Nothobranchius furzeri: one gene and its partners. The protein of the gene in region 3 purifies or fractionates together with the protein of the main gene of each other region. This does not show direct contact. Links are inferred from orthologs where the notes say so. Each region holds a gene or a part of one and is shown on either strand. Other genes may lie near its edges.

Region 1 (4,269 bases), on a different chromosome or scaffold from region 3:
GTGGGGATTGTCAGTTTTTCTCCTTTCAAGACAACTGGAGGGACATAACTACTGTTTACCATCAGTGAGTGTGGGGTTGCTATGTCTCTCGTGAGCCAATACTGCAGCGTTAACAATTGCAATTTGGCGGCGGCCGGAATAATAAAGCTCCAGTTGTTTAAAGTGATTGCTGTAACCAAATTTTACCACAGGATGTCATTTTTAACCTCATTTATACATAATGCACCTGTAAGACCACTTGGGTCACAACCATCTTTGATTGACCTCTGACCTTCTAATATACAAAACATTGTAAAAGAAAAACTCATTTCCAGCTTTTTTGCAGTTGTTTACCAAATAGTCACAGATTGTAACGTGCCTTGAGATGACTCTTGTTTTGGCGTTGGAAAAATAAACTGAATTTAATGAATTCTAAAATCGTTTTCAATATATTGCGGGAATAATGTTTGAAAACTCAGCTATAGAAACTCCTGAGGTCACATTTTAATATGTACAGCAAGCAACCACAATTGATTTTATTGAATGAACTTTGATTTGCCATTACAGACAACACAAAGCACAGAGACAAAAAGTAAATAATATTAACTGGTGGAGTTTTCCCACTGGAGAGATAGTGTACAAAATGGAGTAAATACAATCTGTTATTTCTGAATTTAAAACTTTACTGATGAAGATCTGAGGCTGCAGTGAGTAGACATGACAATAGAACATTTTTCATACAAATACAAAAAAGGGGAAAGGAATTGGTCTCATTTAAATCTGCTCTGAAAGTGTCAGAGAGCAAAGGGATGGCAGGTTCAATCATCTAGAAAGTCATCATCAAGGTTAACATCTGTGGTGTCAATGTCATCCAGCTCCATGTTGTCCAGGTCTACCTCCAGCTCATCCAGAGTCTGCAGACACACACCAACCAAGGACACACCATGATTTCACCATTTCATCATTGAGTTGTACAAAATACAGTAAATATTAACAACTTACCTTATCCTTCTGTGACTGAGAGAATGAAGGGATTTCTACCTCCTCCTCCTCTTTTTCCTCTTTCTCTACCATCTTGGGAGCAGCAGGTTCGGGCTGTGAAGGAGTCACTAGTGAAACCGGCGCCGAGCTGGACTCTTCACTCTCTTTCATCTGCAAAAAGAAGTTATAAATGATTAAAAGTTTCATCTTTTAGCCAAACTTCTGCTAAATCGGTATTTTGAATATTATTGAAGGTGCTGTGCAATAAGAACAGGTGTGAGAGGCAATCATTTAGTGTTAAAGGTGACTTAAAGCTACTGCGGACAAACCTTTGGGACATGAGGAACGAAGGTGCCTTGGGGCTCGTACCCCTGAGCCTCCTCTAGAATATTCCTGTCTTCATTGGGCTGAAAATGTGAAATAATAATATAAAAAAAAGTTAAAATAGTTACAGTATTTAGGATTGGCTGGTGCTTTCTTCTAAAAATAAAATTTACTTAAAGAGCAAGTCACCTCCAAATCAACTTTATTTTGCTGACAAACTACATAAATGAGTATCTAATCATGCTGAAGACACATGTAGTCAATAATTTGGCACTTGAGTGCATCTTAGTTCAAATTTAAATATTCTGTCTAAAACTGTCAGTGTTGTGCCCTCTTCAGGTAAAAACTCTGCACTGCATTTCAATTCAAATCTGCCATCGCTTTTGGCTAAGAGGTACACTATGATGTTAGCTGGGACATTATGATGTCACAATGACCTTGTGAACCTGTGTGTGTATTTGTTAGCAGCTCCGCCCTCTCGGTCTGCCAGGCAACAGCATTTGTTGCATTTTTCAAACAGGAAGTGGGAGTGGTGTAAGACTGGTAGGGGGTGACTTGCTCTTTAAGAGGTCAAACTTACTGTAACAAGAGGATAATCTTTAGCAGGTCTGGAGCTGCCCAAGCAGCTTTCCCTCAGGTAATATTCAGCTGCAAACGCTTCTTTCAGCCCAGGGAACAGATTCTCGTACTCGGTAGGGTCGGCTAATGAATCAGCTGCCTGCAACAGAGGCTTGGTTAAAGCGTCCAAACTACTTTTCTCTTTGCAAATCATATAATCAAAGATCTTGATGCCAGATCTGACCTTCTGGTTGACTTTGGCTAAATTCTCCCTCCACAATTTGACTACACGCGACACCTGGCTGGGCAGGTATGTGCGAGCCAGGAAGGCAGCTTCTGGAAGTCTGTTAGTCCTGATCAGAAGCTCCAAACATTGGTCCAATCTAGAGAAGAATATGTACGTACATGATCCAGAATCTTCTTATAATTACTGCACACCATGTTTGTCACCACATCAAATACTCACTTCCCCTGAAGAAAGTAGGTCATGAAGGCCACGTTGTTCTTGCCGTCTCTTTCTGCCCCTTCGGCCAGCTTGCCCACCATGGTGGCATTACCAGAAGCTGTGGCGAGGAGCAGCAGGCCACCGTAATCCTGAGCGTGGTGCAGGCACTCCTGGGCCAGGCCGAACTGGCACTTACTGATGGCCAGCTCTGCAAGCTGCTTCCATTTTTGCTCCGACTGCAGAGAAACACATTTTGTTAGCAGTGATGACATGAGTCACAAATACAAAAAGTGTTTGGAAAAGTAACGAGAAAACGACGTGAGGAGACAAAAGCTCTAACCTCTGCTTCGACAGCCAGCTGGTAGGCGATCTTCAGCTCTCCCAGCTGCAGGGCCAACTCAAATCTGTGCTCCGGGTCTGTAGACACCGCCAGAGCCTGCTGCTTGAAGCCCTGACGAGACAAATAAAACCATCAGTGTCAAATTAAAACCACATCTGTTCATTGATGAGGAGCAAAATAAATAAAAAATTAAATAATTGCAGGTCTTTATGGGTTTTCATCACCTGTTTCTCCAGGAAATGAGCCACTCTGGTCCTCTGCTCTTTAGGAATAGTTGGTAGCACCTTGTCTGCCATTCCAAAGTCCCTTCTCATTACAGCAGTCTGGTATTCCAGGACAGAGACCAACAGTGAATAACTGACTATGTTGAGCTCCTTGTCTCCGAGGTACAGCCGGTCATCCTTTGGTATGTAACCCAGCAGGTACATGGTTCTGCAAGGACAATAAAAACTGTGGATGGAACTACGCACCAGTGTTTAGTGTTACTTCTTTATCTAGGTGTGACTGTCCGTTTATCGACGCTGAACTGCTTTTTTCTGATAAATGTAAATGTAGTGCTTGCATGGTCTTATCCTATATAAGTAAGGCCTAAACAACCTGTTCTTACCTGTCCAGATGTGCAATAGTCACAATTTCTCCTCCTACAAAGTAATTGAGTCTGTTCACAGAGCTGGTGTAGATAAAGCAGTCTCCCACCCAAAGTCCAGTCTTCACAATCTCCTGGATCTCCCCCTGGACCTGAGGATAGGACATTCATACAAAAGGTTAGCAAATAATACACGCAAAAGACACACCAGTACGGCTCAGTAACTGTCAGTTTAAAACAGCTCCCTCTAGTTTATTAGGAACGTGCTACAAACACTGCAAAGAGACACAGCTGCCAGGTGAACAATGCGTTAAAAATACGGGCTTCCCGCAACGGGCATTCATCTACACACTGACCTCAAAGGCATCTTCAATCCCGTCCTCTGTCACACCTTCGTTGTTTTCTTGGGAGGCGGCTACTTTCTCTGCCAGGTAACGTAGAATGAAGAAGGACTCCTCCGTAGCAATGCAGACCAATTCCCCCGAGTCTGACCAAAAGATCTGAACAAGCCAAAAAAAAAAAAAAAGAAAAGAAAAATCAGACTAAAACATTTAAAGCGTGATTCAAATAGAGTATCATGTATGTAAAAGGACAAGGTAACTCAAGTCTTACATGCTTGGGCTGGATCTCAATGCGACGGATCAGCTCTGTGTTCTCCCAGTCGTAAAACGCCAGTCCGTTCACCGACCTAACTCCCAGCAAGAACCCCCCGTAGATCCCTGCAGAGCAGAAATGCAGATCCAGTGAATAAAACGACCGTCTTCAATCTGGAAATCTAGCCAACGGCACTCGTCTGATTACCTTCTGCTCCAAAATCTGGCTTAAAAGATTTCTTTTCTTTGAAGTTTTTGAAGATTTTGACAACACTGTTGCTCTCTCTGATGGCGTATCTGTTAAAGGAAGACAAACAGCAAATGTTAAACAACAGTGACTCAAAATCACCACCCAGAAGGATGATAAAAACATCTTTTCCGTGTGGACGTACTCGGAGGAGTCGTGTGCCCAGACAAACTCTTGAGCTGAGCCGAAGCTCTTGTTCCTCAAAGCCATGGCAGT
Region 2 (4,244 bases), on a different chromosome or scaffold from region 3:
AGACCGCAGCATGAAGAGGTCCTGAGAAATATTTTCAAATCTGGACGATGATGATGATTGAGAAGATCGAGCAGCACACTCAGGGACCGGTTTAAATACCTCCGCCATTGTATGTTTGGATTGGCAAGAAGACTTCAGAGGCACCTGGTGGAACTGGAAAGGAGAACAAGTGCCAAAGCAGATGCAGCGTTTTAGCCAGATTGTCGCACACACCTTTGCCAGATGTGCTTTTTATTTTGTAACAACCTCAGAATGTCAACAATGTTTCATCTGGTAGAAAATAGTATGAAGAAAACCAGATTTGTGGAGGGGTTTGCAAATAAACTAAGATGGCAGAAATATTTTTGTCAGCAGATTTCAAATGCAATTTGTGTCAATTATAAATGTAAGAAGTGCGGTTTGATTAGCTAAGGTGAGACCTAAAATATGAGGATTCAAAGTTTAACAGTTATGTCTGTTTATGTTTGAAAAACATCTCAAGTTTTTTCCTGTGGGACCGCATTCATGTAACGCCTCTCTGTAACAAGCAACTTGGTTCTGACTGTACTCTGTTATAACTTAGTTATTTTATTTCAATGGAAGGGATCAATGTTTTTGCCATATTTATATTTAATTAGAAGACCTTCTCAAGTGTTGCGCCATTGTAATGTGGACATTAATGTGTCCAACAGGAACTTGACCAGTTTATCAGCTTCCACACTAGATCCTGTCTGTTTACCTTCATCTTGAGGCCTTTGCAGTGACACATTTTAGTATCAAAGCTCTGCTGCACATGTTGTGGAGGCTGATCTAAATTCTCGAATGGTTACAAAGTGCATTTGAGAGGGTCTTCAAGTGGCTGCACTACTTTTTTATTGTATGCATTTGTAACATTTAATATATTTATTTTGTAAAACTGTTTTAAGAAGTGCAATGTTAGTTTCTTGATTGTAAAATTTTAGGACACATTCTACGTTAAAGGTAGCTTGCATAGATGTCTGTGGAAAGTGCACGAGTGCATGATGTGGCAATAAAATGTCAATTCTATGTGAAAAACAGTGTCCAGTGGTATTGCTTTGTCAAATGTTAGTTCTTATTATCTTTTCAAGATTTTTATTCATCAAATACCATACTGTAAAAAAAGCTTTTCCTCTCCACTTATCAATACAAAATTCGATTATTTAAAAATAAAATGAAAAATGTGTGAAGTGCACACATGTATCAGAAATTTGTAAACAATTGGGAAATTGGTCAAACGTGGACTGCTAAAGGTATAAATTTGATATTTTCAGGAGCACTTTTTCCTGGACTCCATATTCAACCATTCCTCTACTGCCCCCTACCGGTTGGAATGATTCTTTTTACGTCATCCTGTTTCCGTTTTTTTTTCATATCATAACAGCCAATGGAAGGCGAATTTAGAGCATTCATTCAACCAATGAAAGCCGTTTGTTTCTTTAAAGGTTTTGAACAGAGGGACGTTTGAAATTAAACAGGCTGCGATTAAGGAAAGTGTCCTCCGGACAAGCATTTTTCCTCAGAGTACGCACTTTTGCGTGACTAAAATTTGTTAGCTAATTTCAAACCATAGTTTACGACACGGATATTGCTACATTGTTTGATTACTGCTGTTTGCCTTACATGTAATTAGAAGACATCGACATTACCTGTTCAACCGATCGATGTAGCTGCTAGCAAGCCTGGGTAAAGGGTTACCTGCTCGGGGGCTGCTTTCATTTAGGGTCAATCAACTAGTTGCTGCTCATTTGGTTATCGTGCAATACTATTTAGGTGAGTAGTTAAACTAACCTGTCTTTATTACCAGCAGTTGTGTCAGACGACTTGACATACTAGCAGCTATGCTAGGCTAGGCTAACGCGAAGCTGTTCTCTTTATACGTTTGAATGACCGTGCCAGAGTGGATGCTGGGGGTTACTTTTACATTTTGTCACTATTATTTTGAAGAAAGCTGCCACGAGAGTTTTATTTTAGTAGTGGTGGAGTTTAGTCATGTTTGAGTTATACCTGATGTCTTCTCAGACTATGGACTCTTCCACCACGCTGAAGGTTGCAGGGCTCGTGAAACCTCCAAGGCCTGTTGTAAAGGTAAAGCAAGTCTAGTTTAATATAAAACAGTCAGCCAGGTGTTGACACGTAAATCTCATGTTGATCTTGAGGCTCTGGGTTAAACTTAAATTTAGCAACGTAGTGCCTTACACAAGCATATGTGGGCAAATATTAATTAGAAGTAATGTACAAAGAAAAGTCAGTCATTCAATCTTGTATTATTGATGGCAAAATGTTCTGTTATTGTTGGCTTGTGTGTTGATTGGTCTCTAGTGTTATTGGAATATCTCACGAGTCATTGGGTAGTTCACAGCTAAACTTGGGAAATAATCATTGGATTGACTAACTTAACTCTTGATTCAAGATGGCTGCCACAGCTAATCAAGATTAGCAATCACAGAAATGACTAGCTCAGACATTTTTTTACATACATGGTCTTCAATTTTGGTGCGACAGTCTGAGTAATCCCAAATTCCCAATCTTGCACCACTATAACGCTGAACATCTTCGCTTACTTAACTTGCAAAAACGTTTCATGGACCACTGGAGGGAATTTAATGAAACACTTAAAAGTTGTCATTGGATCTACATCCAAACCAGAATGTTGGTAGAGAAGTATGAAATATCTTTTAAAACTACATATTTCTAGACCTACTACTTATTTTTTCATTCATCACTTTGTGTAAAATTGCTGTAAATCTGATTCTAATAGTTAATGACCTCTTGTGATTGCAGTCCAGTGGTGACGGGCCGAGGCGTGTTCCTGTATCGCATAACTCAAAGGCCGTTGTCACACCAACTCAGCCACGAGTCCTCGGTGTGTCCAATGGTCCCCAGCGCGTTCAGCGGCCAGTCAGTCATCAGAAACCAGTGTCTCAGGTCTCTGTTGTTAAGTCAAAACAGCCTGCTGACCAGAATGCAAACCCTGCTACACCATGTTCAAATCCACCACAACCAAAGCCTGTTTCCCAGCAAAACCAGCCGACGACCCATGTACCCAGTGCCAAGCCTCCCTCTGATCCTGCAAAGCAGGCAAAGCCACAGAGTATGCACATTTCTAAAATAAACAAGAATAAGCAAGTGTTTGTTGTAGACACTAAAATATCCTTTTTTTTTTTTTTTTTAAGACAAACCTGCCAAGACTAATCAGGTGGCCCCATCAAAGTACGTCAAGTGCACATTCTACATTCTATTTGTGCAATAATTCAACAGATCAGAATAGGATTTCTAACTCTGTACTGCTGTGTAAATGCAGAACGCGGTGGTGCCTGGAAAACTTCGATATCGGCCGTCCCTTGGGGAAGGGCAAGTTTGGGAACGTCTACTTGGCGAGGGAGCGTCAGACTAAATTCATCTTGGCCCTGAAGGTGCTCTTCAAGAACCAGCTTGAGAAGGCTGGGGTGGAACACCAGCTGAGGAGAGAGGTGGAGATTCAGTCTCATCTCAGGTGATGTGATGTGAAAATTACAATAAAACACCAATCTAAACTTTATCCTCTGTCTTGAGTTCCTTTAAGACAGTTTCACAGAATTCTCTCCTGCATGGGTTTCATACAGGCATCCGAACATCCTTCGTCTCTATGGCTACTTCCATGATGCGACCCGTGTGTATCTCATCCTTGAGTTTGCACCTAAGGGAGAGCTGTACGGCGAGCTGCAGAAGTGTGGAAGTTTCCCAGAAGACAGGAGTGCAACAGTAAGTTAAAAACACTTCAAACTTCAAACACAGTCAACATTCCACAGGTTTATTGAAGGTGTACTCTTAATTCCACTTACTGTTTTTTCTTTTGTGTTATTAGTACATTATGGAGCTGGCAGATGCTCTCCACTATTGCCACATCAAGAATGTGATCCACAGAGACATCAAACCAGAGAATTTGCTCCTGGGAGGCAACGGGGAGCTGAAGATCGCTGACTTTGGCTGGTCTGTTCACACCCCTTCATCCAGGTACGCAGATGTGTTTAATGCAACTTCTTACTGTGTTTTATGGGCTCTGGTCTGCTGATGTTGAGGATCGTTGTCTGGTTTTTCTTTGTGTGACGATCTTTTCTGTCCTTGCATAATAAAGTCCTATTTTAGAAATGTTTTTACCCCTGCAGAAGGTCCACTCTGTGTGGAACACTTGACTACTTGCCCCCAGAAATGATTGAAGGCAAAACCCATGATGAAAAGGTGGACCTTTGGAGCCTGGGGGTCCT
Region 3 (3,500 bases):
CTCTCTTGCCTCTTTTCTCTTTTCGTTAATTATAGTCGTTAGACATCAGTCAGAATCGATCAAAGCCTAGATGGGCAGAGCTCTGAGGAATCAGAAGTTGGTAACGGCCCTGAGAACTAGAATCTACATCTTTTATAAAATCTAAATGACAACAAGCACAAACAATGGGAGAAATGCTGCAGATGTTTGGTGAGGTTCAAAAAACCTGAGAATTAAATGTAATATTTTAGGACAGTTTGATGATTTGTTGTTACAAACTGCCTTACTGGGATATTATCGGTGTTGGCGTATCGCATCATATCATGATCCTTCTTCTCTGACTGATATCCACACGTTGAACAGAAAACCATCATGTGATCTCTGAGAGCGCGATAAGGCTCTTCTATCTCACCGAACACTCAAAGCTGATTTATCTCACTTTTGTGTAACATGTGGGCTGACTGGTTAATTCTATAGCTGATCTCTGATGTTAGTGGCGATGAGATGCAGTGGTGAGTCATCTGTCCCAGGAGAAAGTTTCCGTGAACCGCAGCAGAGAAAAGGTCTGAAGTGTTTGTGACTCATCTGTAGAACTCAGAAGGACTCAAAAAACCTTCATCTGACAGATCTCACCTCCTTTAGATCCTCTGGGTGTTTATCACAATGTTTCTGTGGTTGTGTTGGTGTTTCAGATCTGTAATTACCAGGGTAAGGCCCGGGTGGTGGTCCAGCTGGTGACGGCTCTGACCCCCATGCCTCAGCTTCATGCTCACAGCCTGGTGGGGAAACTGTGTGACAAAGGCATCTGCATCGCAGAAATGCAGTCCAAAGACTCCAGCATCAGGTCTGCATCACCCACACACAACCTGAAGCTTCTCTGTTGTAAGACTTGAAGAGCCGAGCAGATTAAAATGATCAGGAACTCTTTGTTCAGTCAGACAAAGAAACTAATGCTGCAGGAAATCAGTGACTTTTTAAGAAATGTCCAGAATGAGGAGAGGGGAAAGTAGAACGAGTCACAGCAGTTCAGACAGACAACAGATCTGTGTTCTAACAAGCCATGGGTGAGAGCTCCTAACATCTTCAGTTTTTTTTTCTTTCAAATATTAAAACAAAGAATGAAAAAAATGTTTTCTTTTGGCTTGTAATTTGTATGGAGGTAAGATATCAACGAGTCGATGTAACTTTATTTGACCTGTCTGACAGTAAATGCTGATCTGTTTTCTTGATTCTAAAATAGAGTAAGAACTGAACACACCTTCAGTTCTGTGCTGACAGTAACTTTTGTTTCTGTTAGTTTTCCCAACCTGGGGATCCTCCATGTGACCAAGAAGAACGTGGCAAAGACTTTGGAGGAGAGGATGGTGGAAGCCTTCAGGATGGGGTACAGCTGTGGGGTCGCCATCCACCCTGAGATCGACGTGCTGCAGGGGGAGGTCCGAATCCCACGAGAACTCTCAGGTCAGTCGCTGGTACCTGCCTCTACCAGTCAGAGTGCTTCATCTTCTTTAAATACAGAGAATTATCATCATCATCATCGTCATCATCAGTTTAAGGTCCACCTTAACAACATCATAAAGCTCAAAATAAGGTTGATGTTTCATCCAATTACTTTTGCTTTTGTTGAGCGTCACTCAGATCAGTGCTCCGATCAGCTGATCTGCTAATGCATTCATTAGCTCACCCATTTTGGCTCGCGACGGGGAATTTCCAGGAAACAGCAGAGCACGTCTCTGCTTGTAGAAGCTAACCGTTAGCATTAGCTACCCTACCACACAGCAGAACTCCTTCAGGTTTGTGTTATTTGTGGAGATAAAACATCAACTTTGCAGAATAAATGGAGTCGGTGGTAGAGTTGCATTGCTGTTAGCCAATTGGAAGCGAGATCTTCTAATATCATGAAATAAGACTCCAAACCGTCCAACGTCATCTGAAGCGCTCCTCTGCTCTGGCTCACTTTTAGTTCTAGAGCTTTTTCCTACAGAGATTGACTCACAAGGCATTCATTTGTACTAGAGATCACAACAATGTGTTGGATCAAAGTGTGTACTTGGTCTTACTTGACTGGATAGACATTTATTTTTATTTTCTAAACACATTCATCGTTTTTAATTTTATTTTCACAGTTAATATTTTTCAAATTTGAGATTTTTTATTTTTTTTTATTTCAGAAGTTTTCTAAAACTGAGGACAAAAGATTAGAAATTGTAGAGAATAACTCAAACTCAGCCTTAGAGATAGGGTGAGGAGCGCGGACATTCGGGAGGGACTCTGGGTAGAACTGCTGCTCCTCCGGATCGAAAGGAGTCAGTTGAGGTGGTTTGGGCATCTGGTCAGGATGCCTCCTGGACGCCTCCCTGGGGAGGTGTTTCGGGCATATCCTGCCGGCAGGAGGCCCCCGGGTCGACCCAGGACACGTTGGAGAGGTTACATCTCCAATCTGGTCCGGGAACGCCTTGGGGTCCTGCCGGAAGAGCTGGTGGAGGTGGCCGGGGAGAGGACGGTCTGGAGCTCCCTAGTTGGGATGCTGCCCCCGCGACCCGGACCCGGATAAGCGGAGGAAGACGACGACGACGACAACTGAAACTTTAAAAGAAATTTGAAAAAATGATCAATCAAAACTCAAGATAAGAACCGATAAAAATGAAGCGATCAAAGCTTCACTTTTCAACTTGTGTATTTTGTGTTTTACATCTCAGACCACCAGCGCAACATCATCAGCATAGCAGCAGCCAATCAGGCCAAAGAGATGGACCTCAGCGTGGTTCGGCTCATGTTCACCGCCTTCCTCCCCGACAGCGATGGAGGCTTCTCCAGGCGGCTCGAGCCGGTGGTGTCAGAACCAATCTACGACAGCAGTGAGTCCAATTGCACAGGAACACAGAAATGGACCAGTCTTACTCATAGGCGGAGGTCTCGGGGGGACGGGGGGGCACAACGTCTGATTTGTTATTTTAATTATGAATTTTTACAAGCTCATAAATCTCTAAGTAAGTGATGGACATAATCAAAACACAGGAATATTTATCATTTAAAGTACAACATATGTGTGATTCAGGGTGAACGGCAAAGCGGGATAGAAAATCGCTTTTATAGCCCCGTTAACTTCCTTTCATTTATTCTTTGTTCCGGGGACTGAAATCAAGTTCTGAACCGTGGAATGCTGAAATCACAACTAACCATCATGGATCCCACCAGATTTGTGTCAGAGCAAAATTAAAATCCTGCTCTGGATGTTGGGCTGCATGAAAGTGCAGCGGTTCACATTGTAGACTCACAGGAACAGGGTGGCAGGTTCTAATCCTGACTGGGCCTCTCTGTGATATTTGTGTTCTCCCCGTGTTTGCTCCAGGGTCTCTGGTTTCCTGTCACCCCTAACAGTTGAGTTTGTTGAGTTAAGTCAGCTTTATTTATATAGTAGTTAGCATAAAAGCTGATCAAACTGCTTAACAACAATAAAAACAAGTACACTAAAGGCAACAGCAATGCTAAAGATAACATTATGCTAAAAATCCTCAAAA
Region 4 (3,500 bases), on a different chromosome or scaffold from region 3:
TTCAGCTCCATCAGAGCCACCACGTGTGTTTATAAAGGTAAATGAGAGCGATGTTCAGAGTTTCCCCTGCAGGTACAAAACCAGACTGTATACACGCACGCACGCACGCACGCACGCACGCACACACACACACACACACACACACACACACACACACACAGAAAACAGGTCAGGAGATGGGCCAGCTGGTTGCCGTTCAATCAGATCAGTCTCCTGTTATTAAACCTTCAGTTCTGTTTGAAAAGAAAACCTAAACAGAAGTTTTTTAATTATCAAATTTACTGACATGGGAAAATTTTTGTCGATAAGAGCCAGAAATTTTGATAACGATTAATTTTCGATTTATTGCCCAGCCCTAGGACAACTGTTAGCTAGAGGTTTGGACCTAACCAGAGGTTCTGTGTCTGCAGGGAAATGGGCCTACGAGGTTCTGATCTCCTCTCAGGGTCTGATGCAAATCGGCTGGTGTACCCTCAACTGTCGCTTCAATCAGGAGGTGCGCACACACACACACACACACACACACACACACACACACATAAATACATGCATACACACACATAAATACATGCATACACATACATCCATTCATACACACACACACACCTGATACCTTATTAGATGAAACATCTGTCAGGTTTGCTGAGAGTCACACACATTAGTTACCTGTTAAAATTTGAAGTTTGATGTTGAGTCAGACCTGGCGTGTTCGAGTCGGTTTGCTGCAGAATCACAATCATGTTCTGGTCCAGGAGGGAGTCGGTGACACTCCAGACTCATACGCTTACGATGGGAACAGAGTGAGGAAGTGGAACGTAACCACCACGAACTATGGAAAGGTGAGTCCTAGACTGCATGCGCGCATGTATGTGTGTGTGACACTGAGATCAAGTTAAATACTGATGCATGTTGTGTGTTTTGTGCAGTCGTGGGCAGCTGGAGACATTGTGAGCTGTCTGATCGATCTAGACGAAGGAACCATCACATTCTGCCTGTAAGTCCACATGAGAGCAGTGGAAAGAGGCAGGCTAATAGTTTCCACCTGTTTTCAGTGTTTATGCTAAGCTAACTAAGAGCAACTGGAGCTGGGCTAAGCTGTGCTTCCAGAAATTTATTTTTCTAACATTTAATTTGAAAACTTAGATTTTGTTCCAATTAAAAACGTCATCTCAGTTCTGTGCAGCGTTTAGTCACAGTGAGAAGAGACGTGTTGTTAAGACTCAGTTTTAACTTGTTCATGTGGAAACGTCGAACAGAACCAAGGAGAGACGACTCAAACGTACCAGTTTAATAATAAAGACCAGAGTTTGTGGTCAGTGTCTCAGATATTTACTCTGGTTCTGTTGTCCCATCATGCATTGGTGCTTCGTCTGTACATGGTGTAAAACCTGACTCCTGATCCAGGTCTTTGCTCCACGTGTAGGAACGGCCAGTCTCTGGGCACGGCCTTCACCAACATAAAGATGGGTCCCGGCGTCGCCTACTTTCCCGCCATCAGCCTCTCCTTCAAAGAGTCGGTGGCTTTTAACTTTGGCAGCAGACCGCTCCGATATCCTTCCTGCTCAGGGCTCAGACCGGATGAGGCTCAGCTGATCACTCACTCACTCACTCACTCACTCACTCACTCACTCACTCACTCACTCACTCACTCACTCACTCACTCACTCACTCACTCACTCACTCACTCACTCACTCACACACACACACACACACACACACACACACACACACACACACACACACGCACACTAGGGCTGTCGCGGTTGAGGAATTCCCCCTGCGGTGATTCAGGGTGGCTTAATATTGCGGTGTGCGATATTATTGCAGCCCTTTTTTTATTGCAGTACTATCTAAACATAATGTTTACACATTTAAAAAAGGTGAAAAATTGCCGTGCCTTCTTTTATAACACTTTACTGAATGCAGATCAAAGGGCAGTAACAACACAGATCGCAGTAACGTTTGTTTCTCCGAAAGTCGGAGTCCGACTGAACTTAAAAACAACAAAATTCAGGAGATTAAACTTTTAAATGCAAATTTGGCTGCAGCATCTAACAAATAAGAAACAAGTCCCCATTTTGTTTAGTTGTTTAAAATCAAGCATAAAAATTACATGTACCGGGCGCGCGCGCGCCGGGGGGCGGGCGCACTATCATTTCACTTTCACACACACACGAATGACGGTGATTTATAGCTCGGTCACGTCCTTGTTACCTACAAGGAAAACCAAGCATGTTAACCATACACGGTTTGAGAGAGGATCTGAGAGGGGTGGCAACATTTCCAGCAACACTGAAAACCCTCTCGGATGGTGCGCTCGTTGCACTAACGCACACGTACCTGTGTGCGACTCTGGCGAGCAAAGGGAATCTCTCCCGCTTGTTGCTCCACCGTGTCAGGGGGGTTTCTTTAGGGTGGATGCATTCCTCCTGCAGGTAGCGAGTGAGCTCCAGCTCGGCTCAAACTCTCTTCGGGACGGTTGCAGAAGCAGTGCTTGTCCGGGACTTCAGCAGGTCTCCGAGCGTTTATTATTATTTTTTTGCCGCTGGTGGCAGCTCTGTCTCGGCCAAGGACTCTGGCTGCGCAGCAGCTGACGTACTGAAAACCAAAGTGCTCCCAAAGGAGCAAAGTAACGTTTCGTGTTGATACCAGTGCAGCCATCCTTCTCAACATGCATCATTGAGTTGAACCAAGTTCAGTAATCGCGGTGGCCCATGATGCAGCGCGGTGGGCTTCTTCATATTGCGATATTTCATTTTTGCGGTTACCGCGACAGCCCTAACACACACGCAAGTTATTTACCGATTATGAATGTTATTTCCAGCAGCTTATTGGTTGACTTCAAGCTGCAGAAGAAGCAAGTGTTGAATCAAACCAACATTTACAGCAACATAGCTGGGTTCTGGTTCTGGGTTCTATAACAAACAAAAAGCTAAAATAACCAACAGAACATTCGTCTTCCTGCTCAGCCTGGAAACGCAGAACAAGGTTCAGAAAGAAATTCAGAGTTTCAGTGAACTCATCTTGATGTTGGGTGGTGATCCTTCTGCTGGAAGTGCAGACACATGAATACCTGAATACCTGGTGTTGGTCTTTGACATGGCTGTGACTCACGTACCCCGTGGAAGGGTACCTGCCCCTCCAGGACCCCCCCACTGCAGACCTGATGAAGGCTCACAAACTTCTGGGTTACATCAAGAACGTCCTGTCCACTTCCATCGACACTGAGGTGACTCACCCTGTTCTGGTACCTGACTGTGAAGTTTGTGTCTCAGTAATCTAAGTGTGTGTGTGTGTGTGTGTGTGTGTGTGTGTGTGTGTGTGTGTGTGTGTGTGTGTGTGTGTGTGTGTCTGCAGGAGGAGAAGCTGGTGGAGAAGGACTGTGCTGTTTGGAAGCTTCATGGAGATCCAACGGTCCTCGTGACTGTTGCTCACATCTTCAACCACTTTGCTCCTCTCATGGTGAGAGCAGTCGTGTTCGTTTAGTTATGTCTGAGTGA
Region 5 (3,500 bases), on a different chromosome or scaffold from region 3:
ATGAGGTTCGTCCTGGGTATCTCAAGGCTATGGATGTTGTAGGGCTGTCATGGTTGACACGTCTCTACAACATTGCGTGGTCATCGAGGGCAGTTCCTAGGGAGTGGCAGACCGGGGTGGTGGTCCCCATCTTTAAGAAGGGTGACCTGAGGGTGTGTTCCAACTATAGGGGGATCACACTCCTCAGCCTCCCTGGAAAGGTCTACGCCAAGGTACTGGAGAGGAGGGTCCGATCGATAGTTGAATCTCAGATAGAGGAGGAGCAATGTGGTTTTCGTCCTGGCCGTGGAACTGTGGACCAGCTCTATACCCTTGCAAGGGTGATGGAGGGGGCATGGGAGTTTGCCCAACCAATCCACATGTGCTTTGTGGATTTGGAGAAGGCTTATGACCGTGTCCCCAGGGGCACCCTGTGGGGGACGCTCCAGGAGTATGGGGTGGGTGGCTTTCTGTTAAGGGCCATTCAGTCCCTTTACCAGAGGAGCGTGAGTTTGGTCCGCATAGCCGGTAGTAAGTCGGACCTGTTCCCAGTGAGGGTTGGACTCCGCCAGGGCTGCCCTTTGTCACCGGTTCTGTTCATCACTTTTATGGACAGAATTTCTAGACGCAGCCGTGGTGTGGAGTGTGTTGAGTTTGGTGGCAGGAGAATCTCGTCTCTGCTTTTTGCGGATGATGTGGTCCTCCTAGCTTCATCCAGCTCTGACCTTCAGCTCTTGCTGGGTAGGTTCGCGGCCGAATGTGAAGCGGCTGGGATGAGGATCAGCACCTCCAAATCTGAGACCATGGTTCTCGACCGGAAAAGGGTGGCTTGCCACCTCCGGGTCGGGGGAGAGGTCCTACCTCAAGTGGAGGAGTTTAAGTATCTCGGGGTCTTGTTCACGAGTGAGGGTAGGAGGGATCGGGAGATCGACAGGCGGATTGGTTCGGCGTCTGCAGTGATGCGGACGCTGAGCCGATCTGTCGTGGGGAAGAGGGAGCTGAGCCAGAAAGCCAGGCTCTCGATTTACCGGTCGATCTACGTCCCAATCCTCACCTATGGTCATGAGCTTTGGGTAATGACCGAAAGAACGAGATCGCGGATACAAGCGGCCGAAATGAGTTTCCTCCGTAGGGTGGCCGGGCTCAGCCTTAGAGATAGGGTGAGGAGCTCGGACATTCGGGAGGGACTCGGAGTAGAACCGCTGCTCCTCCGGATCGAAAGGAGCCAGTTGAGGTGGTTTGGGCATCTGGTCAGGATGCCTCCTGGACGCCTCCCCGGGGAGGTGTTTCGGGCATGTCCTGCCGGCAGAAGGCCCCCGGGTCGACCCAGGACACGTTGGAGAGGTTACATCTCCAATCTGGTCCGGGAACGCCTTGGGGTCCTGCCGGAGGAGCTGGTGGACAAGGCCGGGGAGAGGACGGCCTGGAGCTCCCTAATTGGGATGCTGCCCCCGCGACCCGGACCCGGATAAGCGGAGGAAGACGAAGACGAAGAAAACAACATTCGGAGCAACTTTTTCTTGTAGTAACAAACTCAAACACAGCCACGTTGGACATTTTTTATGTAGTCCGTAATAAATGAGTGTTCAACTTGCACACAACCTTTTTTTTAAGTAAAACCAAACAGTAGTTGCTCCTCTAATTTTCCGACCCCATTCCTCCTCAGTGGTGATTTGAACGCAGCGGTGGAGTTGTTGGAAGACATCTACACGAGACCAGACAGCTCAAACCCAAGTATATCATTTGTCTTCAGGAAAGTCCTGGAATCTGGCAACGACAAAGCTCTGGACAAGCGTAAGACACACAAACCGGCAGGTGTTCAAAAGAAATGCCCATGATCCACATGCAGATGGGACGGTTTCAGCTTTGGAGTCCGGCGGTGTGAGATGGAAACCGACCCGTGTGTGTTTGTACTGTTGCAGTGAGTGCTATGGCAGAGCGGCTAGCCAACCACTTCTCCTGCTACAGACCGTCCACGGATCTCTTCCTCCAGCTGCTGAACATGGACAAAGTGGAGGACGCCAGACTCGTGCTGGCTGTGAGTATCTGGTGGGGGAAGGGAAGGGGGGTGCTTTACATGTGAAACATCACTGATTTCCTGTTGAGATTTCAAATTTCAGATACTTTGAGTGTGTATGACTTTCAGAATAGTTTCAGTCCACATAAAGGTTAAATGCTCCATGCAGCCAGGACATTTGTTGTATTTTGTTGTTATGATGATCAAAAACAAATCAACAATCATTGAAGGAAACTGGCTTTCTGCACAGGGTTAAGGAGGGGATGCATTTGTGTGCAGATCCCTGCATTACTTCACGTTTTGTGCATCTTTTGTTAGTAATCATGGATGTTTTTGTGCAGCTCATGTCATCTATCAGACCGTCCTACAAGTGAAAACTTTTTAAACAGCAACATGAAGCTGACATTCATCCAGCTTCAGCCACATTTCACCCGCTGAGCCCGGCGGTATTAACCTGGCTGTCTGAGACTTCACTTATTCATCATAGTTCATTCATTACAGCTCGGTGACTTCTCACTGATCCCTGGGACATGAATACGTAGCAGTTAAAAGGGAGGAAGAGGAGGTTGCACAGATGATGATGATGATGACTTGACTTCCTCCTGACTCTTAGTGCTTCCGTTTCCGTAGCAACTTCCTCATCATCAGCTGGTGTCTTACCAGAAACCACATATCTGATGTCAAAGCTAAAGGCCCATGCTGCAACAATTTAGAATCTGGTGCAGCATTTTTGTTTAAACCGACAATCAGCTGATGAGTTTCTAAATTACTTTGAGAGAAATACAAAAAATATCTCCTTCTGTGAACCAGTTGGGTCGATTTCCACAATAACTAATCGCACAGGAAGTCAACATGCTGGGATGTCTGACTAACATGCATGTTAATGAACGGATACATTACTCACTACTCCCATCTTTATTATTATTTAAACACCAAAAAAGGTTGGAGGATTTTAAAGCTACAGCAGAAGGTGCACTCAGCGGGTCAGTGGGAGATGAGGAATCATTTTCTAAGGTTTTTACTCATTACGTTCATAAACTATTCAACATTTTTATGTACTATTCATCTTTGATGTAATCTGAGGCATCCGTGCATCATTACTGTCTCTTTAAAACCAAAGCTTTAGAAACATTGACTTAAACGCATTGATTTAGTAAAACGTGACTCATTCTTGCTGTTTATTCGTCAGAGTTGAAAGCAATTTGGGAGTTGAAGAGTTAACATGGACGTGCTAAACTGATGCAGAGTTTTGGGGGTAAAAATGTCCAACAATAACTCCTCTGGAAAATAAGACACCTAATCAGTAATAATAAGCATCCCTTGAAGGACGCATTTCTTGCAAGTCTTCCAACTAAGATCTCAAAGCTATTTTCAGTTAAAACAATCACAAAATCTTTCTCAGTCAGCTGACGACTCACCTGCAACCACATCAGATTTTAGCTCCATATCTGTTCTGTTTGTCTTTTATAAAGTTTGAGTTTTACAGCCGGACCTGGTTTGTTTT
Region 6 (4,275 bases), on a different chromosome or scaffold from region 3:
CTGGACTGTTGGCAGAATGTGGAGTGAGCTAACATAACAGTAGATCACACTAAAACAGATGGCAGTAATAAAGATGTCTCTTTGGAAGGGACTTTCATTTTATAGATTGTATTTATTTTAATCTGACTCACAATAGCAGCACATACTGTGTAAGTGAGCCCTCTGAAGGCCAAAGCACACAAATAAATCATAAAATGTGTTTAAAAAATATAAAAACATCCTATATGAATACTGTGGAGTTCATTGTAGGCTTCTCCAAGAGCAAAGTGAAGTAAAAAAAAAAGACATTTCTAAGCGCCCTGACTTAGTGTGGAAGACCTGATGCTTCTGGGACAGATGGCTCCTCTGATGGCGTTTCCTTGCGTTACCATACTTGGCTCATACTTGGCTCATCTGGGCTCAGCCAAATATAATTTTTACGTGTGTGTGTGCGTGTGTGTGTGTGCGTGTGCGTGCATATGTCTGTTATTGTTTTTAACCTGTTATGGGAATCTGGGGTCATTTTGTAAAGCACTTTGAATTGCACTTTGTTTGAAAAGCGCTTTATAAATAAATTTGATTGATTGATTGATTGATTTATCTTTATTTTAGTCACTTTCAGCATGATGTAATTTATATAAACAGTCATTGCTTTGGCAGCTTCTTGTGAAAATAAGAAACTTGAATAATATATGTGGTTTTGCTGCTACCCTGGAGTTTACTTTAAAAGTAAAACTGACATCTAGAGAATGTGCACTGCTGGAAATTACCATGAATCAAACTGAAGTCCAGAAAGAGTTGACTTAAACATAAATAAAACCAGCAGATTCAACTGCAACAAGTTTGCCCTAAAAATAATTATGCATAAGAAAAATAATCAGTATTGTTTAATTAAAAACGACAGTTGATATTTTAAGACTTTGAGACTTGTCTTCATTTGGATTATTGTATCTGAAACAAACAAAACAGGTTTTTTGAATATATTTTTTAATTTCTCTTCAGAGCCAGTTAATTGTAAATAAACAGATCCAACTTGACAGTTATTTCTAACCGTGCACGTCATTACTTTAAGGAATGTTCGGGACAAAGATTGGCCAAAACCTCGATTGCCCTTCGACATATAACTATTGTCCTATGCTTTAATTTTGAAAATCCCGCATTTCCGCCGTAAGCACGTTCTTTACGTTCTCTGTTGAACTGTGCGTGTGTGCGCTCGCGCGCGCTTGTGTGTGTTCGGTTCCTTCGCGCGCACTGGGGATTCCCCCGCGTGACAAAAACAGCTCTGGCTTTCAGATGTCAGCTCTTCCCATTATCGCCTTTCATTGCTCGTATGCTCTCCGCCTGGAGCTCGCTGCCACCGGATATCTCCCCGACTGTTAGCCGTCTGCTTTTGTTTTTAAACCAGTTTTGCTTTAACTGGGGAGTTTGGGAGAAACCGACATGGTTTGAAACGTTTTTTCTCTACAAAACAGAGAACCGATAAAGACCGACGGCTCGTTACTGCGAGGGAACGTGTGGTCGGTTATTGGCATGAGACGGAGCGGCTCATTTATCTGGTCTCACAAAGAAGCGGTGGTTTTCTCGTGCGCTAACAGGCTGTCCGGTCACACCGCCGAGGAAGCAGCCACGACAGCCGCCGCTGAAAGCCGTTATTAATCGGGGAAGGGCGGGTAGGGGAAACCCAGAAAGGGCCACCACCATCATGACGAGCCACGACTGTAGTAAGGACGATTTTCTGGAGGACACCCGCACGGACTCGGGGATTGACTCGTACCGCTCCATTGTGAAGCCGGAGGATTCCCGGGAGCCGAGTACCGACTTCGGCGGGCCGAGGGACAAGCTTTTCTCCCCGGACGAGCGCTTGGACTCAGCCTACGGATCTTCGTCCATCACGGTGGAGAGTCTGCCACCGATGGTGGAGGGTTGCACTTTGTCCACCGCCGAAGAGCAGCAGGAACAGATCTGTGAACTGTCTGAACAAGAAGACTTACTCACAACTATTACAGACGATGGAGACACGTACGTTTTTCTTTTTTAATTAGCAATTAGTTTAAATAATTTCTCTGTTTACAAATTCTGTCAAAGTGGTTTAATTATCCAACCATCCTCCAGCTCGCTTCCTGGAAGTTAATCTGCAGCATCTGGTAGAAATAAATCAGAGCTGCACCTAAAGATCCTCTATCTCCTGATTAAATCAAGAACTGTTTCCATTTCAGGACAATGAGTCTTAAGTATAAATCACGTGATAAATGAACACAATCAGCTGTTTTTAGAGTCAGATTAGAAAATCTCCCCCAAAATATTAAGTTTCCACCCATGTGCGAATTTCTATGAATGAGGCCTTATTTTCCAAAGTTACTGCTGGTGTTGAAGGGGATTTCATATCATGAACATGCAGAGTTTTTTTCTATTGTTGAACTTTGTCCATGCCATGAATGTGAACAGTCAGAAACCAGAAGTGAAACAGATAGGCCTGGACTTCCCCCTGCCTGCATCACAAAGCACATGTCTGCGAGGTACATCAACGAAACTGGTTGATCAGGACACAACAGCATCTGCGTGCATTATTCTCTCCTACAATTCAGAAGCTATTTGTTTTATTTTTAACTCTCATGCATCAAATGCTCTTTTTTTTCTGCTGCTCATTCCTCCTCTTGACTCAGTGAAACTGCACCTTTTTCTTCAAACGATCCACACCTCCGCATGCAGCTTCTTCAGCCTTTGCAGGGCTTCTAGTGTGACCCACTCATCTGGGGCCATCCGTGTGTGTTTTAACAATAAAGCAGGCTTAGTAATGAAATCTACAACCACTGTGATGTAGTCACAGGATTGCGGAAATGTCGCTTTAGTCTCTGACCTCTTTTAATTTCCGCTCGCTGACTGTCAGAGCCATATGGTTTCATTCTCACACCCTAACAATAGATACCTGCTGGGGAAGGGGGAAAAAACACCTGAAACGCTAACAGAGAGAACTATGCAAACACTCACTTTCCCCTGTGGGAATTTTTTTAAAAAGTCATTCATTCAAGATTTACCCAGACCTGGAAGTCCCGCTCAAACTCAAATCATGCTTACAGGGTTGAATGATGTTAGCCTGCAGACGTTTGGGACGAACTTCACACAGACACATCTGCCAAAAACATCAAGAGGTTTGATTATGGCATTTTCTTGATCCGCTTTCAAGCATTTTTTTTAAAGATTCTTCCTTTTATTCATTTTGTTTGTGCAAAGATGAATTTGAGCTAATTTGTCTGCTTCTTTTTACATTTAAATGTTAACATTCTGCAAAACGATTCATGTTTTTAGAGGAAAAGCTCACATTTCAAAGGTATATGACAGATGATGCAAATGCTATTTGTACTGGTTTTAGCTAAATTCAGGAAAAAACCTGCAGAAATGTGCTTCAGTTGTCTGCAGTTGTGAAAACTTTTCTCTGACATTTTTCATTTTTGAAATGTATTAGTCTTTGTGCTAACCTGTCAGTTTCTGCAGAGTAATTGTATCCAACCACCATTATTATCATGCATTTTATTTTATCCACCTTAAATGTCTTTTTTCCGTTTAGTTTAGACGTTGAGAGTAGAAATCTAAATGAACGTCTGCACCGTGAGATTTTGCGTCTCCTTTTGATCCCACTGCTGTCTGAAGCAGGTTTTAGTTCTGTGACATTTATTCTGAAACGAGAGCACGCTGCGGTTAAACAGCCTCTGAGCTCATCCACTACGGCTGCTACAAGCAGCTCTGTAGCCGTCTTGAATGTTGCACATGGATGTTCACAGCTCGATTTGAATGTGTTGAAATCAGCCGAAGCCTGCGCTGCTTTCTTCTAAGCTAGTTTAAATTAAGCACCAAAGCTTGGTTCCATTTCCTGCTTTTGCATTCGTTTGCTACCACTTCCCACGCAGCCTCTTGAGGTTTTTGTGTTGTTGTTTCGCCTTGTTGTTCACTTCATCCAGCGTCTGGTTGAAGGTGATTTTTAGCACTAATATGAGGTCTTTTCTAGTTTTGTGTGTTGCACACCACCCCTGCTGCTCAGTTTTGCCGTGCAGCCCACTAAAAGTTACACTCTGAGGCCCTCTTTTGAGATGAGTACTGAGGAAAAAAGTGATACGATGCTTTTTCGTTGAAGCGTCAACTTTTGCTACCCACCTACAGTTACGGTGCAGTTCTTGCTCAACATGAGAATACCCAGAGCTGCAGGGTTCTCGAGGATAAAAAGGATCGAAGTAATCGTTTTTGATCTCTTCTGTAGAATCCTGCACCTTGCGATCATCCACGAGGACACACAGGTGGCTC
Region 7 (4,250 bases), on a different chromosome or scaffold from region 3:
CAGTGCGCCCCAGGGCAGCTGTGGCTACATCGTAGCTCATCACCACCAGTGTGTGAATGTGTGGGTGACTGATCCGTGTTGAGGAGTAGCTACTCCTGTGATCAGCTGACCTGAGCGAACGAGCGGGCGTGTAGCGATGCAGTAGCTCAGACAGATAGGGAGGGGCCGGGCCATTTAAGCCCTTAAAAGCAAATAAAATCATTTTAAAATCAATCCTAAAATGAACAAGCAGCCAGTGCAGGGAGGCTAAAATGAGGGAAAACCTTTGATTGCCACTTAAAAGGCGAGCTGCAGCACTCAGAACCCTCTGAAGCTGAGCAAGGCAGGATTCACTGACTCCTACCTCAAATGCCAACATACTATTCTGATAGGAAGTGGGTGGTTGATTGTGTCGAGGCTGCTGAGAGGGCTAGTAGAACCAAAACCGCTGCCGATTTAGCATCAGCAGCTAAAGAAATGTTGCTACGGACAGCTAGAAGAGCAGATTCAGAGCTGTGCCGACAACAAGAAGCAGACTGAAAAACTCAAGGATTGGATTGTCATCTAGGAAAGTCTGGAACTGCATAAAAGCAGCATGTGTTGATCCTGATAAACTCAGCCTGTCGTGGACACCGCTCCTGCATCCAATCACCGTTACAGTAAAGGCTGAAATTACTGTTTGAATTTACTTTGTTCTTTTACCTCGATAACTCTAAACTTAAACGACTTCTGAAAATGCTAAATCAGACACACGGAAACCTAAAAGCCCCGCTGAGCATCTGGTAATACACACAAGCGTGACCGTCGTGTGTTTTTAGGTACCTCGAAGCTGCTGGTTGTCACACAACAATCTGGTCACCACTTCATTACCAGCGAACTCTGGTGGGACCCTGAGGACCCCCCCGCAGTCCTCTCCTGACATGTCCCACTGCATCGGACCATCAGGCTGCGGCTGCACCATTCCTGCAGAAGCAAAGGCTGGGAATTACAGAGATCTAATCCATTCACTTCTTCATATGAAGAACTCAGACTCTGGCGGTTCCTGAACCTGTTTCCTGGTTTCCTTTGGAGACTTGTTACACTTTTAGCTCATTTTTTAATAACGTCTAAAATCCAGCCTTCGTGGCATTTATTTAAACGGGCATTGGAGAAACTTTTTTGTTAGTCAAATTAAAACATATTGTGTACGTTGGTAAGAAAGACTAAAAAACCTGTTACCATCAACACTGCAGGTCAGTTCAAACCAGCAGAGGCAGGAACAGTTTGTTTCACCACCAACAGAAAATCATCCCAGAAACTGCAGAGTTCAGTCACTTCTTTACTGCTTTATGACGTCACACCTGTAGTGAGTGAATCTCACCACTGTGGGATTAATAAAGTCTATTCTATTCCTTTTTTTATGTTATTGTGGTCGCTCCGATTGTCATCTAATGCAACAACAGACAAAACAGCAACTTTTGCTGCTTCTGTAGCTCTAGTAAGAAAAAAGTTTCCCCTGGTTCGCTAACTACTTCCTTACTTATAAATATGGTTTCCAATAATCTACACATTGAAGTCAGAAGTAAATTAGAAAAAAGAACAATCAAGCAATTATCTGAGTCTACAGCCGATCGCTTTCAAATGCACAAAAATATCAGAAATACAAATGGTTCTAATTCTAGTTATCACCATGTTCTTATTGTTAAATTCACATTACTATAACATACCAAATGGCTCATAAAGATGAAAAAACAGGAAGTCACAAGGATCTCCTGCATGTATATTTTTCCCTTGTATGAATATTGTCCTTGTTCAATTAAAATTGTTATTATTTGAGAGACAGCAGGCTCAAATCGTGGCTGTGCTGTTTGATTTTAAAATAAGAAGTACATAAATATGTGATTAAAAGAAAAATAAAATGAAAAACGATCCTAAAAGCCACCATGGAACAAGTGAACATTTCAGGTGTAAGTAAGACCTGAGCATGACGTCTAGGGGGACTGGACACGTTTCAGCCCCGTTGGGGATCTGGAAACGTGAAACTTTCACTTTCAGTTTAAATGTGAATTAACTGTGTTTAATATGACCGGTTTGTGTCACGGCTCATTGGCGAGGTGCCAGAAGCCCTTCTGAACAGTTACACCTGAGAACAGGTGGTCATCAACCTCTTCTTATGGGACCTCAGCCTTGTCATTGTCATAAAAGTAAGATCAGGTGTCTGCTATGAAGAACATCACGATAACCTCAGCAAAGCTCACGTTAAATACTGTTTAGACAACATAGCTAACACACAGCTAACAGACACAAAACTTGTCTTACCTTTTTAAATTTTATGTCGTAAACAACAATTATCCAGTCTCAGACTCACAAACTACTCCCTTCACCGAGTTTAAAAGAGCAATCTGACTCAAACAGCTGAGATACAGCTAATTAGCTCAGTAAGCTAATATAGCACAACAACGGCTGGGCAAACGGACGCCTTTGGTTTCACATAAACACGGACCTACATCAACGGATCATGTGGCCTTCCTAAAGCATGTGTCCAGTTTTGAATCCTTTCCTTCGTGAGTTTAAGACTACCAGAGGTAAATCAGAGGCAAACCAAAGGTAAGCTGTCAGCTTTTCGACTGTTATTAGCGTGGAAAAATCGTGATATATCACCCTCAGTTTAGCCTTGTAGGCAGAACACCCGTGACTCGAACATCGAAAAACGTGTCGTTTATTTTAAGACGTTTAATTAACACAAATGAACAATAAAAAAGTTGACAAATTACAAGTGTGTGATCAAATCGAAATGGCTGTGAATTTAAATAATACCAGTGGCACATCGTATCTTTAAGCGCTGCAGAGGAAAACTCTCCTGTCAGTATTAACCCAGGGTGTAAACACTCCGTTCTCAGGAAAGCCCCTTCCTTGTTCCGTAGTGGAAGATGACGTCAGTGCGCTGCAGCATTTTGATGTCCGCTAACGTGAAGGAGGTGAAGATGCTCCCCATCTCTGCCGCAGCGGTTTCTCTTCTGGTGGCCTGGATTTACCCCAGCGGCGCGCTTTATTTCCACATCGGAGAGACGGAGAAAAAATGCTTCATTGAAGAAATTCCAGACGAGACGATGGTGATCGGTGAGCCGGTTAGCTTAACGCAGCTAACTAGCCGTCTTGCTAACAGCTGGTTGTTTAAAGATGCAGCAGATGACACCAATAGTTGTTTATTATTATTATTATTATTATTATTATTAGAGACTCGAGTCAGACAGGAAATTCTGGAGGCTTCAGCTGCGGGTTGTTCACCACTGAGGAGAAATAACGTTTAAATATCTGAAAATTCAGATCATTTAAGGGAAACATTCAACTTTTGGCCATTGATCTTTAGCTTGTTGTTTATTATCAATAAAATAAACATTTTCCTGTTTACGAAGGTATTTCCATCAAACCTAAACAAAAGATCTGTCAAATATCAAAATGAATACACAATCTTTTAAATGCAAAGAGGAGATGGGGTATAAATGTGAATGTTTATTAAATATTTCATTCATTGCTGGGATGATTTTATGAGATAAATACTATTATTACATCCATGTGTCCAATATTCCGTCCTAACACAGGACAGCAGATGTTAAGCTGGTTTATTACTGGCATCCAATTTGTGGATGATCGTGTGTGTGTGTGTGTGTGTGTGTGTGTGTGTGTGTGTGTGTGTGTGTGTGTGTGTGTGTGTGTGTGTGTGTGTGTGTGTGTGTGTGTGACAGGAAAGTACCGGACTCAGCTGTGGGACAAACAAACCACTTCCTTCCTCCCATCCACCCCCGGCCTTGGCATGCATGTAGAGATCAAGGATCCAGACACGAAGGTAAAGCCAGACAGGAAGGTCTGGAGGTTCAGAGCAGAGGTGTAAGTCTGAAGGTGTCTCCTCCACGTTCCAGATCATCCTCTCTCGTCAGTACGGCTCTGACGGACGCTTCACCTTCACCTCTCACACTCCTGGAGAGCATCAGATCTGTTTGCACTCCAACTCCACAAAGATGGCTCTGTTTGCAGGAGGAAAGCTGGTACGGAGACCAGGACCATGGCTTGACTTTTAACGGTTTCACTTTTCCACAGGTTGGGTTAAAAAAACCAAAGTAAATATTGTTTCAGTGTAGAAGTGACACATAAACCTGTCAAAAAAGTGAACGAGTAATAGAAGCAGGGACAAAAACATCAGCAGCAGCTGGAAATGTGTGTGTTCAGTTAGATTTTCCTTAAGAAAGAAGGAATATTTTGGTTTGGTTGCTCCTCCTAAACCGCTGAAGTTT

Evidence for each region.
Region 1: the proteins of nfkb1 (region 3) and copb2 purify together in Homo sapiens (affinity purification with mass spectrometry; 5 studies listed by BioGRID and IntAct, with this or other methods). This does not show direct contact. The link is inferred for Nothobranchius furzeri from reciprocal best matches to the Homo sapiens genes NFKB1 and COPB2.
Region 2: the proteins of nfkb1 (region 3) and aurka purify together in Homo sapiens (affinity purification with mass spectrometry; 4 studies listed by BioGRID and IntAct, counting the BioPlex papers as one, with this or other methods). This does not show direct contact. The link is inferred for Nothobranchius furzeri from reciprocal best matches to the Homo sapiens genes NFKB1 and AURKA.
Region 4: the proteins of nfkb1 (region 3) and E3 ubiquitin-protein ligase RNF123 purify together in Homo sapiens (affinity purification with western blotting; 4 studies listed by BioGRID). This does not show direct contact. The link is inferred for Nothobranchius furzeri from reciprocal best matches to the Homo sapiens genes NFKB1 and RNF123.
Region 5: the proteins of nfkb1 (region 3) and lrpprc purify together in Homo sapiens (affinity purification with mass spectrometry; 3 studies listed by BioGRID and IntAct, with this or other methods). This does not show direct contact. The link is inferred for Nothobranchius furzeri from reciprocal best matches to the Homo sapiens genes NFKB1 and LRPPRC.
Region 6: the proteins of nfkb1 (region 3) and nfkbie purify together in Homo sapiens (affinity purification with mass spectrometry; 4 studies listed by BioGRID and IntAct, with this or other methods). This does not show direct contact. The link is inferred for Nothobranchius furzeri from reciprocal best matches to the Homo sapiens genes NFKB1 and NFKBIE.
Region 7: the proteins of nfkb1 (region 3) and ikbkg purify together in Homo sapiens (affinity purification with mass spectrometry; 4 studies listed by BioGRID and IntAct, with this or other methods). This does not show direct contact. The link is inferred for Nothobranchius furzeri from reciprocal best matches to the Homo sapiens genes NFKB1 and IKBKG.

What each region holds. Positions count from the first base shown.
Region 1 is NC_091751.1:58,291,829-58,296,097, forward strand, and holds the end of copb2 (coatomer subunit beta'), read right to left. Parts: coding exon 4,199-4,269; intron 4,104-4,198; coding exon 4,015-4,103; intron 3,933-4,014; coding exon 3,826-3,932; intron 3,714-3,825; coding exon 3,570-3,713; intron 3,366-3,569; coding exon 3,235-3,365; intron 3,060-3,234; coding exon 2,852-3,059; intron 2,739-2,851; coding exon 2,628-2,738; intron 2,524-2,627; coding exon 2,309-2,523; intron 2,226-2,308; coding exon 2,087-2,225; intron 2,003-2,086; coding exon 1,865-2,002; intron 1,368-1,864; coding exon 1,290-1,367; intron 1,132-1,289; coding exon 982-1,131; intron 894-981; coding exon 798-893; 3' UTR 501-797; downstream 1-500. UniProt on the Homo sapiens protein: The coatomer is a cytosolic protein complex that binds to dilysine motifs and reversibly associates with Golgi non-clathrin-coated vesicles, which further mediate biosynthetic protein transport from the ER, via the Golgi up to the trans Golgi network.
Region 2 is NC_091743.1:61,016,285-61,020,528, forward strand, and holds the start of aurka (aurora kinase A), read left to right. Parts: upstream 1-1,444; 5' UTR 1,445-1,521; intron 1,522-1,568; exon of another isoform or gene 1,569-1,770; intron 1,771-2,019; 5' UTR 2,020-2,022; coding exon 2,023-2,085; intron 2,086-2,781; coding exon 2,782-3,091; intron 3,092-3,173; coding exon 3,174-3,210; intron 3,211-3,301; coding exon 3,302-3,493; intron 3,494-3,602; coding exon 3,603-3,741; intron 3,742-3,844; coding exon 3,845-3,993; intron 3,994-4,145; coding exon 4,146-4,244. UniProt on the Homo sapiens protein: Mitotic serine/threonine kinase that contributes to the regulation of cell cycle progression.
Region 3 is NC_091741.1:65,318,963-65,322,462, reverse strand, and holds part of nfkb1 (nuclear factor NF-kappa-B p105 subunit), read left to right. Parts: intron 1-671; coding exon 672-823; intron 824-1,276; coding exon 1,277-1,440; intron 1,441-2,678; coding exon 2,679-2,837; intron 2,838-3,500.
Region 4 is NC_091743.1:77,259,113-77,262,612, forward strand, and holds part of E3 ubiquitin-protein ligase RNF123, read left to right. Parts: coding exon 1-37; intron 38-410; coding exon 411-496; intron 497-752; coding exon 753-839; intron 840-926; coding exon 927-994; intron 995-1,423; coding exon 1,424-1,549; intron 1,550-3,114; coding exon 3,115-3,229; intron 3,230-3,357; coding exon 3,358-3,462; intron 3,463-3,500. UniProt on the Homo sapiens protein: Catalytic subunit of the KPC complex that acts as E3 ubiquitin-protein ligase. Promotes the ubiquitination and proteasome-mediated degradation of CDKN1B which is the cyclin-dependent kinase inhibitor at the G0-G1 transition of the cell cycle.
Region 5 is NC_091752.1:25,410,348-25,413,847, reverse strand, and holds part of lrpprc (leucine-rich PPR motif-containing protein, mitochondrial), read left to right. Parts: intron 1-1,645; coding exon 1,646-1,773; intron 1,774-1,901; coding exon 1,902-2,017; intron 2,018-3,500. UniProt on the Homo sapiens protein: May play a role in RNA metabolism in both nuclei and mitochondria. In the nucleus binds to HNRPA1-associated poly(A) mRNAs and is part of nmRNP complexes at late stages of mRNA maturation which are possibly associated with nuclear mRNA export.
Region 6 is NC_091742.1:8,385,258-8,389,532, forward strand, and holds the start of nfkbie (NF-kappa-B inhibitor epsilon), read left to right. Parts: upstream 1-1,475; 5' UTR 1,476-1,681; coding exon 1,682-1,998; intron 1,999-4,231; coding exon 4,232-4,275. UniProt on the Homo sapiens protein: Sequesters NF-kappa-B transcription factor complexes in the cytoplasm, thereby inhibiting their activity. Sequestered complexes include NFKB1-RELA (p50-p65) and NFKB1-REL (p50-c-Rel) complexes.
Region 7 is NC_091755.1:44,541,826-44,546,075, reverse strand, and holds the start of ikbkg (NF-kappa-B essential modulator), read right to left. Parts: upstream 2,801-4,250; 5' UTR 2,776-2,800; intron 2,603-2,775; exon of another isoform or gene 2,278-2,602; intron 943-2,277; 5' UTR 941-942; coding exon 802-940; intron 1-801. Other genes in the region: tmed4 (transmembrane emp24 domain-containing protein 4), read left to right, coding at 2,889-3,078, 3,705-3,805, 3,879-4,004. UniProt on the Homo sapiens protein: Regulatory subunit of the IKK core complex which phosphorylates inhibitors of NF-kappa-B thus leading to the dissociation of the inhibitor/NF-kappa-B complex and ultimately the degradation of the inhibitor.